Canis lupus familiaris: one gene and its partner. The protein of the gene in region 1 purifies or fractionates together with the protein of each later gene. This does not show direct contact. Links are inferred from orthologs where the notes say so. Each region holds a gene or a part of one and is shown on either strand. Other genes may lie near its edges.

What was found.
Region 2: the proteins of FBXO45 (region 1) and FBXW7 purify together in Homo sapiens (affinity purification with mass spectrometry; 4 studies listed by BioGRID and IntAct, counting the BioPlex papers as one, with this or other methods). This does not show direct contact. The link is inferred for Canis lupus familiaris from reciprocal best matches to the Homo sapiens genes FBXO45 and FBXW7.

What each region holds. Positions count from the first base shown.
Region 1 is NC_049254.1:30,333,871-30,340,693, forward strand, and holds the end of FBXO45 (F-box/SPRY domain-containing protein 1), read left to right. Parts: intron 1-85; coding exon 86-442; intron 443-3,478; coding exon 3,479-3,664; 3' UTR 3,665-6,650; downstream 6,651-6,823. UniProt on the Homo sapiens protein: Component of E3 ubiquitin ligase complex consisting of FBXO45, MYCBP2 and SKP1. Functions in substrate recognition but also plays an important role in assembly of the complex.
Region 2 is NC_049236.1:50,632,651-50,640,597, forward strand, and holds part of FBXW7 (F-box/WD repeat-containing protein 7), read right to left. Parts: intron 5,272-7,947; 5' UTR 5,222-5,271; intron 4,593-5,221; 5' UTR 4,524-4,592; coding exon 4,008-4,523; intron 1-4,007. UniProt on the Homo sapiens protein: Substrate recognition component of a SCF (SKP1-CUL1-F-box protein) E3 ubiquitin-protein ligase complex which mediates the ubiquitination and subsequent proteasomal degradation of target proteins.

The DNA of each region.
Region 1 (6,823 bases):
TGAGGTGCCCCTAAAGTTTGGGTACTTTTTAACGTTTAAGAAAAATCAAATTTCTGTTTCTTTGGTGTGTTTTTCGTCTTTTCAGGTACGTGCTTTCCAGCATGCCTTCAGCACTAATGACTGCTCCAGGAATGTCTACATTAAGAAAAATGGCTTTACTTTACATCGAAACCCCATTGCTCAAAGTACTGATGGTGCAAGGACCAAGATTGGTTTCAGTGAGGGCCGCCATGCATGGGAAGTGTGGTGGGAAGGCCCTCTGGGCACTGTGGCAGTGATTGGAATTGCCACAAAACGGGCCCCCATGCAGTGCCAAGGTTATGTGGCATTATTGGGCAGTGATGACCAGAGCTGGGGCTGGAATCTGGTGGACAATAATCTACTACATAATGGAGAAGTGAATGGCAGTTTTCCACAATGCAACAATGCACCAAAATATCAGGTGAGAAACTGGGTAGTTTCTCAATTGTGGGCCTTTGTCAAATCATACCTTGATTTGTTCTAAATTTACACAATTTTATATAGCAGCTTTGTATGTATTTCTTTTAATTTAAAAATAAATAGTGTAACTCGCCTTTCTTTTCTACTCTAATAATCTTTTGGTATTTCCCTGTTTCCTGATACATATTTGACCTTGAGCAATCTGTTGGTCTAAGTTGGGAGTTGGCAAACCTTTCTGTACAGGGCAGGTAGTAAACATTTCAGGACTTGTGGTCACCACTATTCAAGTCTGTTGTTAATAGTACAAAAGCAGCCATAAATGATATGTAAATGAGTGAGCATAGCTGTGTTATAGTAAAACCTTATTTATGGGCCACAGGCAAGACTTGGCCCAATGACCATAGTTTCCCATCTCATGCTCTAGATTGTCATCTTTTCTATATCGTGGCACATCCAAATCTACTTTCTCTAGACTTCTTACTCCCATAAATGCACCTATGCACATGCATACAAATACCCTCTGCTATTCATTAATCTGTTTATGGATTCAAGGCCTCAGGAGGTATCAGTGATTTCTATAAGACAGGCAAATTCATGCAAACCACTGCATTTTTTTATTCTTTTCATCTTAATGTTATACCATATTCATTTGATTCTGGGGTCAAAATTATAGTTCCTATTTGTAAAAGCCATATGATTACCATAGGGTCAACGGAGTTTAAAACACAGAAATCTGATAAGAAATTGAAATTTTTAAGGAATTATAGACTTAAAGGAGTCATTTCATAATGATAAGAGAATCAAATAGGGAGATATAACAACTGTAAATATATCTGCACACAATAATAGAGCCCCAAAACACATGAAGCAAAAACTTACAGAACCGAAAGAAGGAATAGATAAATTACCAAGTATAGTTGGAAATTTCAGTACTCATTGTTTTTAAGTCTGTTTTGTCTGATGTTTTTTTTTTTTTTTTTTTGTCTGATGTTAATATAACTTTAGTTTTCTTAAGCTTACTATTGCAAGGTATCTCTTTTTCTCCATTCTTTTACTTTAATCATCTATCTTTGTCTTTAAAATGGGTCTCCTAGAGGGCATATAACTGGGTCTTCTCTAACCCAATCTTATTATCTCTGCCTATTGATTTGAGTGTTTAACCCATTTATATTCAGTGTAGTTGTTGGACTGCTTGATGTGGTCTGTGTCTTTCTATCACTGAAGCTATGTTCTTGTTTAAGAAATATTTTTTCTCCTTGTTTTTTGGACCAGATTATTTCTCTTGCTCCATCTTCAAATTTATTGATTATTTCTTCTTACCATTTCAGTTCTGCTGTTAAGCCAGGCTAGTGAATTTTGGTTATTGTACTCTTCAGCTCTAAAATTTTCATTTGGTTCTTTATTGTAGTTTTCATTTCTCTATTGAGAATCTGTATCTGTCCATCAATATTAGATTTTTCTTTAATTCTTTGCACATATTTATAATAAGTGCTTTGAATTCTTTGTCTGCCAAATCCAACATGTAGGCCTACTTGGAGTCTGTTTCTGTTGACTCTTTTTCTCCCCCAGAGTATGAATTGCACTTTTCTGTTTCTTTTCATATCCAATCATTTTTAAATTGGAAATTCTAGATAATATGTATTAAATACTGGAATCTTTTATTTCTAGAGATCATTTTATTTTTCTGAAAATTAGATGTTCTAGTTAACTTGCCTACTAGATTTGATTCTTCATCAAACTGTAAACCCTTGTCTGCCCCATGGTGTACAGCAGCTTATGTCTTTGTTCAGATTTGGGGGTTTTAGGGAAAGAGGGGTTGGCTTCTAGCTGCTGTTTTTCCAGCTTGATTCTTTGGAGATTTTCCCTGTGTCAGTGTAAGACTGTGATCACACAATGATTTGGTCAATTTATTCTCAGATTTTGGGGCTCATCCTCTTTGTGGTTCTCTTGCTTCTAGAGTTCTTCCTCTGTTTCCAGTTGCTCTGCCATCTCCCAGGTTTTGACCTCTGACACCTAAAGCTAGTATAATTTCTGCTTTTGCTCTCTGGCATGTGCATGCTGTACGCTCAATCAAAGGTGAAGCAAACTTGCAAATTTCACCAGGAGTGGTTCTGTCATTTTAGTTTCCATCTTCTGTTAAGTAGGGATAAATCTTAGGATAGATGGGAGGATTAAATGAGATAATACACATAAACCGCAAAATGAATACCCAGCAAAATATTAACTTTTCGTTTCTATTTTTTGTTGTTTGTTTTGTTGGTGGCAATAGTGATGATGGTGACGAGGATGTTCTTAGGTCCATAAAATGGGGCGCAAATTAATAAATTAGGCAAAGGGAAGAAAGAAGCAGCTGTTTGTAGTTGTCTGTGACAGAAAATACAGTGAAGGAAAGTAACAACAACAGGAATTAACATAATTGGGAAGTACTAAATTTGATTTTTTTATTGCAAATGTTAGGACTTTCTCCTCCAAGTATATAGATGTACAGCCTTTTGTAGATTCAATTATAAAAATAAAACATCCTTATTTGTCTGCTTAGTTTTCCATGTGGGAAAATATTTGGATATATTGTGCTTCTGCTTTAGTTTAACAATCAGTGCTGCTGTTTTTATAACAAACGGTGTTTCAAAGCAGTGGCCCATAAAATGACTAATACGCTTATTCTACATCTGTAGAATCTATAGTCAGGTTTGACTCTTCATGATTATGTAAGTTCCAAAGTGTATGTAGAACTGCTTTATAAACTTTATGTGTTTTTATTATAGTAATTTTTTATTGTGATAAAATATATACGTTATTTATTGTTTTAATTGTAAGTGTACGATGCAGTGACATTAGTATACTCACAATGTGTTTATCCGTCACCACTATCTATACCTAAGACTTTTTCATCTTCCCCAACACAAACTCTGTGCCCATTAAACAGTAACTTCCCATTTCTCTATTCTTAATGTTTTCAGCTTGTTGATTTGTATCTTATTTCTTCTAGCTATGCACTTGGTGAGTTTCCTTCTGACCTTTTGGTGTCTCTTTGCAGATAGGAGAAAGAATTCGAGTCATCTTGGACATGGAAGATAAGACTTTAGCTTTTGAACGTGGATATGAGTTCCTGGGGGTTGCCTTTAGAGGACTTCCAAAGGTCTGCTTATATCCAGCAGTTTCTGCTGTATATGGCAACACAGAAGTGACTTTGGTTTACCTTGGAAAACCTTTGGATGGATGACAGTGGCTTTTCTGGAATGAAAGACAGAATGGAAGAGATATCTGCTTATGGAAAGTAGAATCATGAAGTGACAGTGTCATACATGCATGCCCAAGAAACATCCTGAAAAACACATGAAATTGTTAACTGGAGAAGCAACTCTACAGCAGAGATTATCTTAGTGTATCCTCTTTCTACTGGGCCAGAAAAATCCTCAGGGTTGCAGTTGGTTGAGTGGGCAGTTGACATATGCATGTTGCAACAGATTTGGTCTCTAAGTTAGCAATGTGTTAATTTCCAACTTTTAAGGTGAGATTTTAGAGATGCTATAAAAGGGATAAGATAAGGAAATAGCAAGATTTTTAAGTAGTGTGTTTGTGAAGAAAGACTGATCCTGTTTTACAACTGCCTGTTTTTTCTCCAGACCCTTTTTCCCAGCCAGCTTGACTAATAGAAAAGTATGAAACTGGTTGGGTTTTATTTAATATTTTTAATATATTGAGAAGCATGGTCTGCCTGGACTGCACTTCTCTAACAGTGAGATGTAAAATTGTGCAGCTATTTTAAAAGTTGTATATATAATAAGTGTGTAAAAAAAACTGTAAAAAAAATAGGACAAAGGGGTTGCTTTGTTCTAGTTCAATTTCTTAAAAACCACTACATGGTACAAAATTAGAATAACATTTAGGGAAAATTAGGTAACTACAAAGAAGAGGATTTTAAGAGGAGATGTGTTATATTGGCTCATTTTTAAATTAGTTTTGTTTACAGTTTCCATAGCTATTACAGTCTGGTTATTTTTCTTTTAATGATCAAAATTATTGTAAAGATCCCTCAGTCTCCTAGTTTAAGATTGAGGCAAGGCAAATCTATTTCTAATTATACATATGTCAGTAGTAGTAATGATAATGTACGTCCTCTAGTATCTGGTTTTATTTTTTGGCCTTTTGAGAAAGTGTCTCATAACAACACAGAACATTGCCATTTGCTCTTACAGGCCTCAAATATGAAAGCTGTTAGTCACAGACCTAAGGAAAAGGATTAATGGTTCTTTTATTTTGTAACTTTATAATGCTGTAGATATTATAATTTTTTTTTAAATTTTATATTGTTTACATCATGGCAACAAAATCTAAGCCTCAAACTCTTCATTGGGGTTATCAAGAAAATGTTTACTCACCCACCTGAAACAGTGCCAGCCTGAACCCAGGTTAAGAATGTTCTTAATCTCATTATAGATAATTGCCCCCATGGGACTTGAAATAAAATACCTTGTGCTGTAAACTTCAGGTTGGCAATGTTTTGAAGGTTTCCTTATAGAAGAGCTTGACATTAATTCCTATTCTGAGTTTTTGACTAATAAATCTGATTTCACTAATACTCTTGAATTAATAACATATATGAGCTGAGATTTTCTTTTATAAGAGAAACAACCATCATCTTTCTGTATGAAAGTATATAAATACATGGTTTCAGATACATCTTTGTGATAAGAATTGACTAAGGCAGGTATAATCTTTGCCTTTGAGCTTATTGCTGTGTGTAATTTTGTTTTAAATCTAATCAAATTAGGGACAGCAAGCAGCTGGCTGGGGCTTTTGGGTTGCTCCTTGAGAGTTAAGATTATCAATATTCTTATGAAGCAGGGAATTTCAGTCATGAACAAAGATCTATTTTTGCCACCTGACAGGTTTACAAATATTTATTGTGTATTTGGTATGTTGCTTAAAAGCAAAATCTGTTAAAGATCCTTTTTAATATCCATGTCAAAAAGAACCCTCCTGGAAACCATATTTAGTAGTACAGAGTGAAATTATATGTTAAATGTATTAGAGAATATAGCTGCTACAGAAATTGATTTTTCTTGGTGTAGAACAACTCAATTTGGCAAAGTTTAAAATTTGAAGAAAAGAACTGATTCAGGATGCAGATTGATAAATGATGAAACAATGAAGTCCCTTATGTGCTTGGTGTTTTTTCAGGGTGTTGTGATATAGCCAATTCCAAGAGCTTTTGCTGAGTTTTGTTTATAACTTCTGTTTTGTCCTATTAGTATAACATTCATTTGTTACAAAGTTTGGAAGGTGCTGAATGGAAAACAGAAACACATGGTTATTGCACATTGAACCTAGAATCAAATAATTGCCTAAGTATTTAACAACAAGCCATTCTTATCTCAAAGACTTAAATTCTCTAATATGCTATTTGCAGATTTTATAAAATGGAGGTTCATATTTAGAATAAACATCAGGGGAATCAAGAGCCTTCATTTATAACCTGATTATTTTATTACTGGAGACCAATAGTAGTTGTATAGAGAATATTAAACTGTTACAATGTTTAAGGAAAAGGAATCTCTTGTTGATACTGAGAGAGCTTTCAAGTAGAATACAGTTGTACCTGAAGGTTAAGTATAAATCTTCTAAACCAGTGATTCTCACACTTAGCTTTGGAGTCATGTGCATTTTGAAAAATATTGATGTATCCTAAAATTCTGATGTTAGTCTGGGGTATGATATGATCATAAGGATTTTTTTAAACTTCCTGGGTGATTTCAGTATGCTGCTAAGGTTGAGTTTTAAATTCACCTTAAGTTTTCTCATCTGCAAAATTAAAAAAAAAAAAATCCTTGCTCCCTCCCTTCACTACCTCACAAGCATATTGAGGGCAAAGGAGAAAATAATGGGAAAAATACTTGTATGCTGGATAAAATGTGCAATTGAAAGGCAAAACAGTATTAGTTGTATTTCAACTAAAACTATGATCAGGAAAGAAAAATGTGTAATTGAATTTACTTTGTTGACTTGGGAAACTGGGAGCATTCTCTTCGGTTCTTTAGCGAAGCATGCAGATGTGTAAACAGACTATTACTATTCATACTATGGTTTTCTGTTAAACTTGAGATAGGCTGTTTTAATTATTTGGTTCTACATAGGGAAGAAATATTGAGGCTTAAAGTCTGTAATGGCCAATGGCTCACAATTCATTAAAACTTTTCGTACAAGGAGTTCTGTGGTTAATATCATTTCATAGTTGCCATTATTTTTTTCATTATCTGACTTGAATGTTAAGCCATTTATTTCATCTTCATTCCTATGTAGGTTTAGGTATAGATTTTATAAAGCACCTAAAGCAAGTCGGTATTGCCTGGTTGAATACTTAAATTCGCGGCTCAGTGAT
Region 2 (7,947 bases), on another chromosome or scaffold:
ATTTTAATGTATATTATTGCATAGCCTCCGATACAAACAAATCTTTGGTGACTAGAGGAGAAAAAAAGACTGATACTTTTAGTATGTTTTCAAAGAAAAGACCAATGCCAGGAAGGACAAAAATGGTTTTTCTCATTACCATATTTGAAAAACAACATGTTCAGAAATGACCAACAAATAAGCATAGCTGTCCACAGGGAATGTTTAAGAAACTGCCACACACACACACACACACAAAACAAAACCAAAAACACAACCAAAAGAAAAACACCACACTTGAAAGCTATTTTGGGTAAAACTACAGGCTAATTCCGTATGTTTTTTTAAAGATTTTATTTATTTATTCATGAGAGACGCACAGAAAGAGGCAGAGACAGGCAGAGGGAGAAGCAGGCTCCCCTCAGGGAGCCTGATGTGGGACTTGATCTCTGGAATAATGCCCTGAGCGGAAGGCAGAAGCTCAACCACTGAGGCACTCAGGCATCCTGCTAATCCCATATTAAGGTGAAAAGAAAGGGATTTTTTAAATGATTCTTATACCTTTACTCTCTTCAAAAGTCACGATTTAAGAAGTCTTAAAACTGTGGCCCAGAGTAATGTCTATAGAAGTGTTTTATGTTTATAATAATCAAGAATTTAAAGCTGCTCTAAAATAAAATCTATAAAATAATGAGACCTTTTCCTCATTTACTGTATTAAAAAGATTTATATACATGGGTGACTGACATTTTCTTTATAAGCAATGAAGTAATATGTGACATCTTTAAAGTGTTGGTGAAAAAATAAAGTACTCTGGGAACAATTGTAAAGAAGAGATCCAGGAAAAGAGAAAAAGGAAAATGGGCCAATTTTAACCTGAAATACTACTCTGCAGAGGGGCATCGTTGCCTTGGCAGTCAAATAGTTTATATTCTTCTTGCCATATCTGTGCAGGAAAATGACCTCAAAATAAACAATAAATACATCCAAAGTGTGTACACCAGGATACACACACACACACACACACACACACAAACACCTATGCACATATATACATCTAATTCCTGCTGTCACTAGTACTCAGTCTACTCCTATGGCCTTGTATGTACAGCACAATAATATGCATTCATCACTCAAGAGACACTAGAAAAAAACTGACCTAAAATCGATACTTTGCTTTTTTTTAAATTTATTTTATTTTATTTTATTTATTTATGATAGGCACACAGTGAGAGAGAGAGAGAGAGGCAGAGACATAGGCAGAGGGAGAAGCAGGCTCCATGCACCGGGAGCCCGACGTGGGATTCGATCCCGGGTCTCCAGGATTGCACCCTGGGCCAAAGGCAAGCGCTAAACCGCTGCGCCACCCAGGGATCCCTGTTACTTTGCTTTTACGGATGTAACTAAATAACTGTATAAGAAGACATATCTAAAAGTTCTATTTACAGTTTCATCTTAAAGGGTGGGGGGGAAGAATGATAAAGCATCTGTCAAATCTGTGTACTAGTAGTTTTCCTGCAGAATAATCTGATGACTTTTCCTTCTGGAAAAAGCTATGTTTTGTCTAGCTGGCTTTCTTGTTTTTAATTTAAAATATAGCACAACTTGCTGATAGCTTTGCATTTTTCAACAAGGCTTAGTTTTGATTAAACTTCTTTCTTAAATAAGCTAATACAACCAAATACTAAGCCCCATTCCCCAACCTGAACCTTCAGACAAAAGAGAGACATAAACCCCCTCTTTAGATGTAGTAACCTTGAGGGAGAGAGATCAAGAGATCAGGGAGATAGAAGCTGGCAGGATTGCATTATAAAAGTCCTTAGCCTTACCAAAAAGCAGGGCTGTAGCTATTAGAGGTAGAGCTTCTTCTTAGATCAAACCAACTAAATAAAATCTAAACTTGCAGACAGGCTAGGGAAATCAGGGATAAACATGTTTTAGAAGAGTTTAAAGTTTTACAACCTGAAGCAAAAATGATACAGCAATTCAAGTATTAAACCTAGCATCAAAATTATTCATTCTAGGTCAAGTTACATTAAAGAAGATGATGTTACATGTGTTTGTATATTATGGGCTAAACAGATGATTCACTTTTCAATTTAAAAATAAGCAAATAAGAGTAAGTGGATAAACCACATGAACATTATTTTAATTTTGAATAACTGAATTAAAATGTTCCATTCCAAAGAAATGTTTGACTTATAAGTCTACTCTACATGGATATTCATGATTTTTATCTAATTTTCAAATGATGAAGAACCAAAAAGCATGCAAACAAAGATTTATGAATGTAGAAGGCTGAGGGGGAAGAAAAGGATAGAAGTTGTGCTACATACCTCATTCATTCTGAGTATAATTCTTTTTACTTTCTTTCCTCTTTAAATAGACTAGTATATAGCAACACTGCCTAAAATATTGATTAAAATAAATTCTAACTCCAGCAAAAAGTACATGATGTCTTACTGAATTTCCTGTAATTTCAATAGCACCAAAATACAAAGAAAATAAAATTCAACATAGAGAAGTCAGCACTTACTTGACTTAGGAGCTAGTCAACAAGACCAAGATATGTAAAGAAAACTCCTATTTCCAACTTTGATTATCATTTTCTGAGGTCTGTGTGTGTGCTCATATTCTTCACAACTTAAAAATGTTTCAATTATGTAATATTTTAAACATACTTTAAAAACCACACAGAAAAACACCTACAAACCATCCCCATCTCTGGAACCCAATTTCAATATTCAGCAACTCATGGCCAATCTATATCCTCTTTCCTTTTCTCCTTCAGGATTATTTTGAAGCAAAGCCCAGACACTGTATCATTTCATTTTGACTATCATTTGAAGGAGGGCTGGGGGCGAGGAATATACAGGAAAATTAGGGAGAGAAGTAACACTGCTGTTTTTTCTCTATAATGCCAACCTCTTGTCATAACCATAATTTTAAAGGATATAATAATATCCAAGAATATTTTGAGGAAAGAAGCCCACATGCCATCCCAAAGAACAAGCACTGGCAATTCCAAATTTACTGCAGCTGCCCAATCACTTCCTCCTTCTATTTCAGACACACTTCAATGTTCAGGACCTCCCTGCCTATCTAGTAGCAAAGATGATCCTAGGGAGCAGTGATATTCCAGTCCTTATTCTCTGATAGAGCCTCAAAGGACAATGTCCAGTGGAACTGTTTTTCTCAGCACTAGATTATCACCAAGTCCCAGAGTTGATAAGATTTCTCTGATTTAGACAAAAGTCTAATTGTCTACCTTTTAAAATAGGTCTAAGGCTAAGGGATGTCTGGGTAGCTCAGTCAGTTAAGCAACCAACTCTTGATTTCAGCTCAGGTCATGAGGTCAAGCCCCAGTGTCAGGCTCCATGCTGGGCGTGGAACCTGCTTAAGATTCTCTTTCTCCCTCTGTCCCTTCCCCCAACACCCTGCTGCTCATGTATGCACACACTCTCTCTCTAAAAATGAAAACAAAAACCATGCCTATGGCTAACTCCATGGGCTACTACTGGCCAAATGAATAAGGAGGCACATACAACAGACAGACAGAGCTGTCTCTTAGGAATGGGAAAGAAAATGAAAACTGCAAATAAGGGAAGTAGTGACAGAAACTTAACAATAATTTGTGCCTTGGAGTAACACCTGTAAATAAACAGCCTACCCCAACCACCTGCGTTTTTTAAATAAGAAAAGATTCTTTGCTACTTGATTTACATAAAACATGTTTCACTCCAATCCTCTCCACTGCACACAAACTACTAACCTCTGTCGTAGGGATAAAATTTGTTATCAATAATTTTTCATAGTAATAGGATTAATTACCTTCGATTTGTAATAAGATTGTCCTATTATCAGTATTTCTATTTCTAATACCTTCCATAAAACAAAACTTAGTTCATTTTATTATTACACATCTGAAGTTAATTTTGCAGCAGTAACAAAGACTGTGAGGAAAGTTTCATCACAATTCATATGAATAGGTAAATGTCTCAGGGGAACAGCAGACTAAATATACTCACTTTTGTTGTCTTTGTATAGAATGGGGAGGAGAGTTGGTGAATAGGCAGGTCCACGATACTAGTGGAGTTTGTGACACTGTTACTATGTGTATGGTCATCTTCCCTGCTACTGTCATCAGATTGATCAAAATCATCACTCTCCTGGTCCATTTCCTCTTCTTCTTCATCCTCCTCATCTTGTTCACCAGCATGTTCTTCATCTTCTTCTTGCTCTTCTTGGTTTCCTGAGGAGTCCTCATCTACCGAAATGAATCGATTATTGTTTTCTTCCAAATGTCCTTGCTGGGAATCATTTTGGTCTCCAGGTCTAGGTTCTGCTCCGACGACTTCACCATTCCTTGCAGTGTGCTCCTCCTCTTGTTGTCTGAGCTGTTGCTGCTGTTGCTGCTGCTGCTGTTCCTCCTCTACCACACGATTCATCTGTTCCTCATCTGCCTGGCTTGAGGAAGGGTTACCTCTCAGAGAGCCTCCAGTTCGTCGTCGTTTGCTGCCCACAGAGAGCAGTTCCTGATTCATTTCCAAAAGCCAGCTTGCTACTTCTTGGACCTTGGCTAGACTATCAGAAGATGCAAAGGATTTCACATTCTGTAGGGAAAAATGAGGGGGGGAAAAAAGGTTTGTACAATTTACATTATCTTTCATTTTTATGTTCTAGGTCTATATTCCACATTTTATTAAAGACTATAAAAAGTATTTGATGCTACTGAGACATTAGGTGTTCTTTAGGAATAAACAGGAAGTTTAAAATGTAGAAATTATGAGACTTTATAGATATACACAAAAATCACATGGTAAACATTATTTTAATATTTTAAAAAATAATTTTAAATTGAAGCTTCATAATTTAATTGCTTTCACCAATAAAACATAATTTAACCAATAAAATGATTTTCAATTATCAATCCATAAACTATCTTTTATAAAACTTCCAGAAAATGTTATGAAGTATATCATAAAAAACTATCCAGTGATCAGTTAAGTTCAGGAAATGCTCAGGTAAACCAAGATAAAAAGGCTTTTTTTACTTTAGGAATTTCCCAAACTTCTCTAATCATAGAACCTTGCCTTAAGACATGGTTTTCTGACAGGTACCAAGTATAATCATTATGGTTTTCATTTTTCACAACGAATATAAACAACAGGAGCACGAATAAACAAAAAAAATCTTATTTTTATTTTTTTTAAAAAAGGAAAAAAAGTTCATAAGTTCATACCCTCTGACCCAGTAACTCCACTTCTGGCAATCTATCCTAAGGAAGTAATCCTAAAACAGAAAAAAAAATTATGCAAAGGATGCTCACTGCAGCTTTATCCACAAAAGCAAAAAATGAAAATAAACGTAAATAAAAATAACCAAAACCCAAATGTTCAAGACAAAGGAATCCATGAGATAGGATATTTATAGTGCAATCCCTAAACCAATGTGCATTTTTTTTTAAAAATGTGAGAACATGGATGTTTATATTATGCTAAGGGCAAAGCACAAGTAATTATATGATCATAGCATGATTTTTAAACTGCATAAAGACTAGAAGATAATATTTCAAAATATAAACTGCATTTAGGCAGCGGTATCATAAGTGCCTTAAACTTACTTTTTAATCATATTTTTCAAATGCTTTCTATCAAACACATCTGCTTTCATGTTTTATAGACTCTAAAATTTGATCTGATAGAATCTTTTTATAATGCTCAGTCTTAAATTTCATCCTTTGCAGATTATCTATATGGACATGTTTGAGGTTACATAAAATAATGCCAACACACCACCCACATTCATATAAAATTTTTAAAAATATCTTTAAGGTTTATGAGATCTAAGAAATATAATATCCATCTTTCTATCATGTCCTAAGAATAAGGACATTATATCACAATAGTCTTCAGATAAAACAGCCTTATCTACTTTTCAAACCCTTGCCACAAGAGGTAAATTCCCCAAAGGTCCATAGTTCTCATTGTAAGTTTTGAAATGGGGTCTGAAAGTCTGAAAAGTAGTTTTAAAATAGCAGTATTTCATTTTCTTTTCTATAATCTCCACTTTCCAGGAAAAAAAGGTGTAGTGTGTGTGGGGAAATTCTTTAATTCTAATTACCACTAGAAGTATAGAAAAAGAAAAGTTCCAACAACTGACCTATAAGACATTCCAACATTCTGAGTGAAAGAGTAACCAACAAAGATGACTAAAACAAGGAGAACTGGAAATAAGTGGTATCCCCGAAGCGTTGAAGTAAAGAAAGCATACCCAGGAGGAGAAAATATAAAATGACATCTGTTGATGATAGATCAAATAGTATGAAGAGAAAGAACTGACCACTGGATTTAGTAATGTGGAAGTCACTAGTAACAAGAGTTTTATTAATTGAAATCTGATTAAAGTAGATCTAAGAGACTAGGAAAACAGAATAGATATGATGGGTATGAACAAGTTAGGAGTATGCTGCAAAAAAAAAAAACTGAAAGGGAGTCAGGGAAAACAGTCAAAAGAAGAAATTTTTTATTCTTTAAGATTCTGTAAGATTGGAGACTAGCAGTATATCTGTATGCTGTATGCTGACAAGAATGACCCACTACAAAACAAAAAATTGATAATGTAATCATGAAAGAGAAGAAATAGTGAAATTAAAAGGGAATGATGAGAATGAGTTCAAAATTGGAAGGACTAATTTTAGTTTAAAAAATGGATACTTCAATGATGGGAAAGAAGAGTGGTATTATAGGTACTTTAAATTTGTTTCTTTTTATCATAGTTCCCAAGGTGGAAACAGTTGGAAATAGATGGATTTTTATAAGTGGAGTCTTTGGAAATTCCCTACTCATTCCTTCAATTATTTTCCTTTTCTTTTTAAAATAGGAAGCAATGTTGCATCATCAGAGTGATCTTGGAAGAAAGAGGTGTTAGAAATTTGAAGAAAGGGATTTGAAATAGTCCTCTAGGGTGAGAGAAAGGAAACTTTCTTAGGTGCATGAGATTTTGATGATCAAATATATTCGATAAATCATGATATAATATATATTAAATGTGACTTTTAAAAGTCAAGTAGTTCTTCCTTACAACTCAGATAAGCACAATAACAAAATTTCTGAGGTAGAAAGCACATTTTAAAAGCACATTAAATATGTCTGTTGTTTTCTACAAAAAAAATAGAATAAACTACAGAAATTAAGATCTAAATCTTACTGGCTCATATATATAAAAGAAAAACTATGAAAACATCACAAAAAAGCAGGTTAAAAATAACGTTGAAAAACACTGACCTATGCGAAAGAACATATATAATATCCCAATGTATGTAAAGGTAAATCAACCATTCATAAGTTTCCTTCAAAGAATCAAAATTTTACTTTAGTAATCATATTTTAAAGTCTAGCTCTCCTAACATTAACAACATTCTTTTTTCACTTGGATGTTTATAGATTGAACAGCATGAAATCTGGGTCACTGCCTGGAATAATGCAGACCCCAAGCAAATTGCCCTTTGCATACCAATTTAACAGGCATATTTTAAGAGATTTAAACAGGTTAAACGACACAGTAAGAGCAATTTACAAGATTGTAAATTGAAAGAGCAAAGGTCATAAAACTAATTGCAGGAAGTTAACCCTGTGTGTCATAAAACTAATCATAAGGAATATGTGTAAAGTAAGGAGGAGACTATTGATAAGTAGCCTACCAACAAATAGAAAGTTTATGACTGGCATTTCTAAAATAGTACTAGTACTGGTCATCAGTGAACATTTCTGTTACTAATTATAAATAATAAAAATTCAAATCACTATATTGTGTAACTTTAGTTATTGGGAGGAACAGAGAAGTATCTTTATTTTAAGCCGATAAAGTTAATTGACTCATATTTACAAGCATGGCATATAAATAGCTTTCAAAATAATATAGATTCTTACAGATAGAGTTGGTCAAAAATGGTAAATCCAAGTAGAA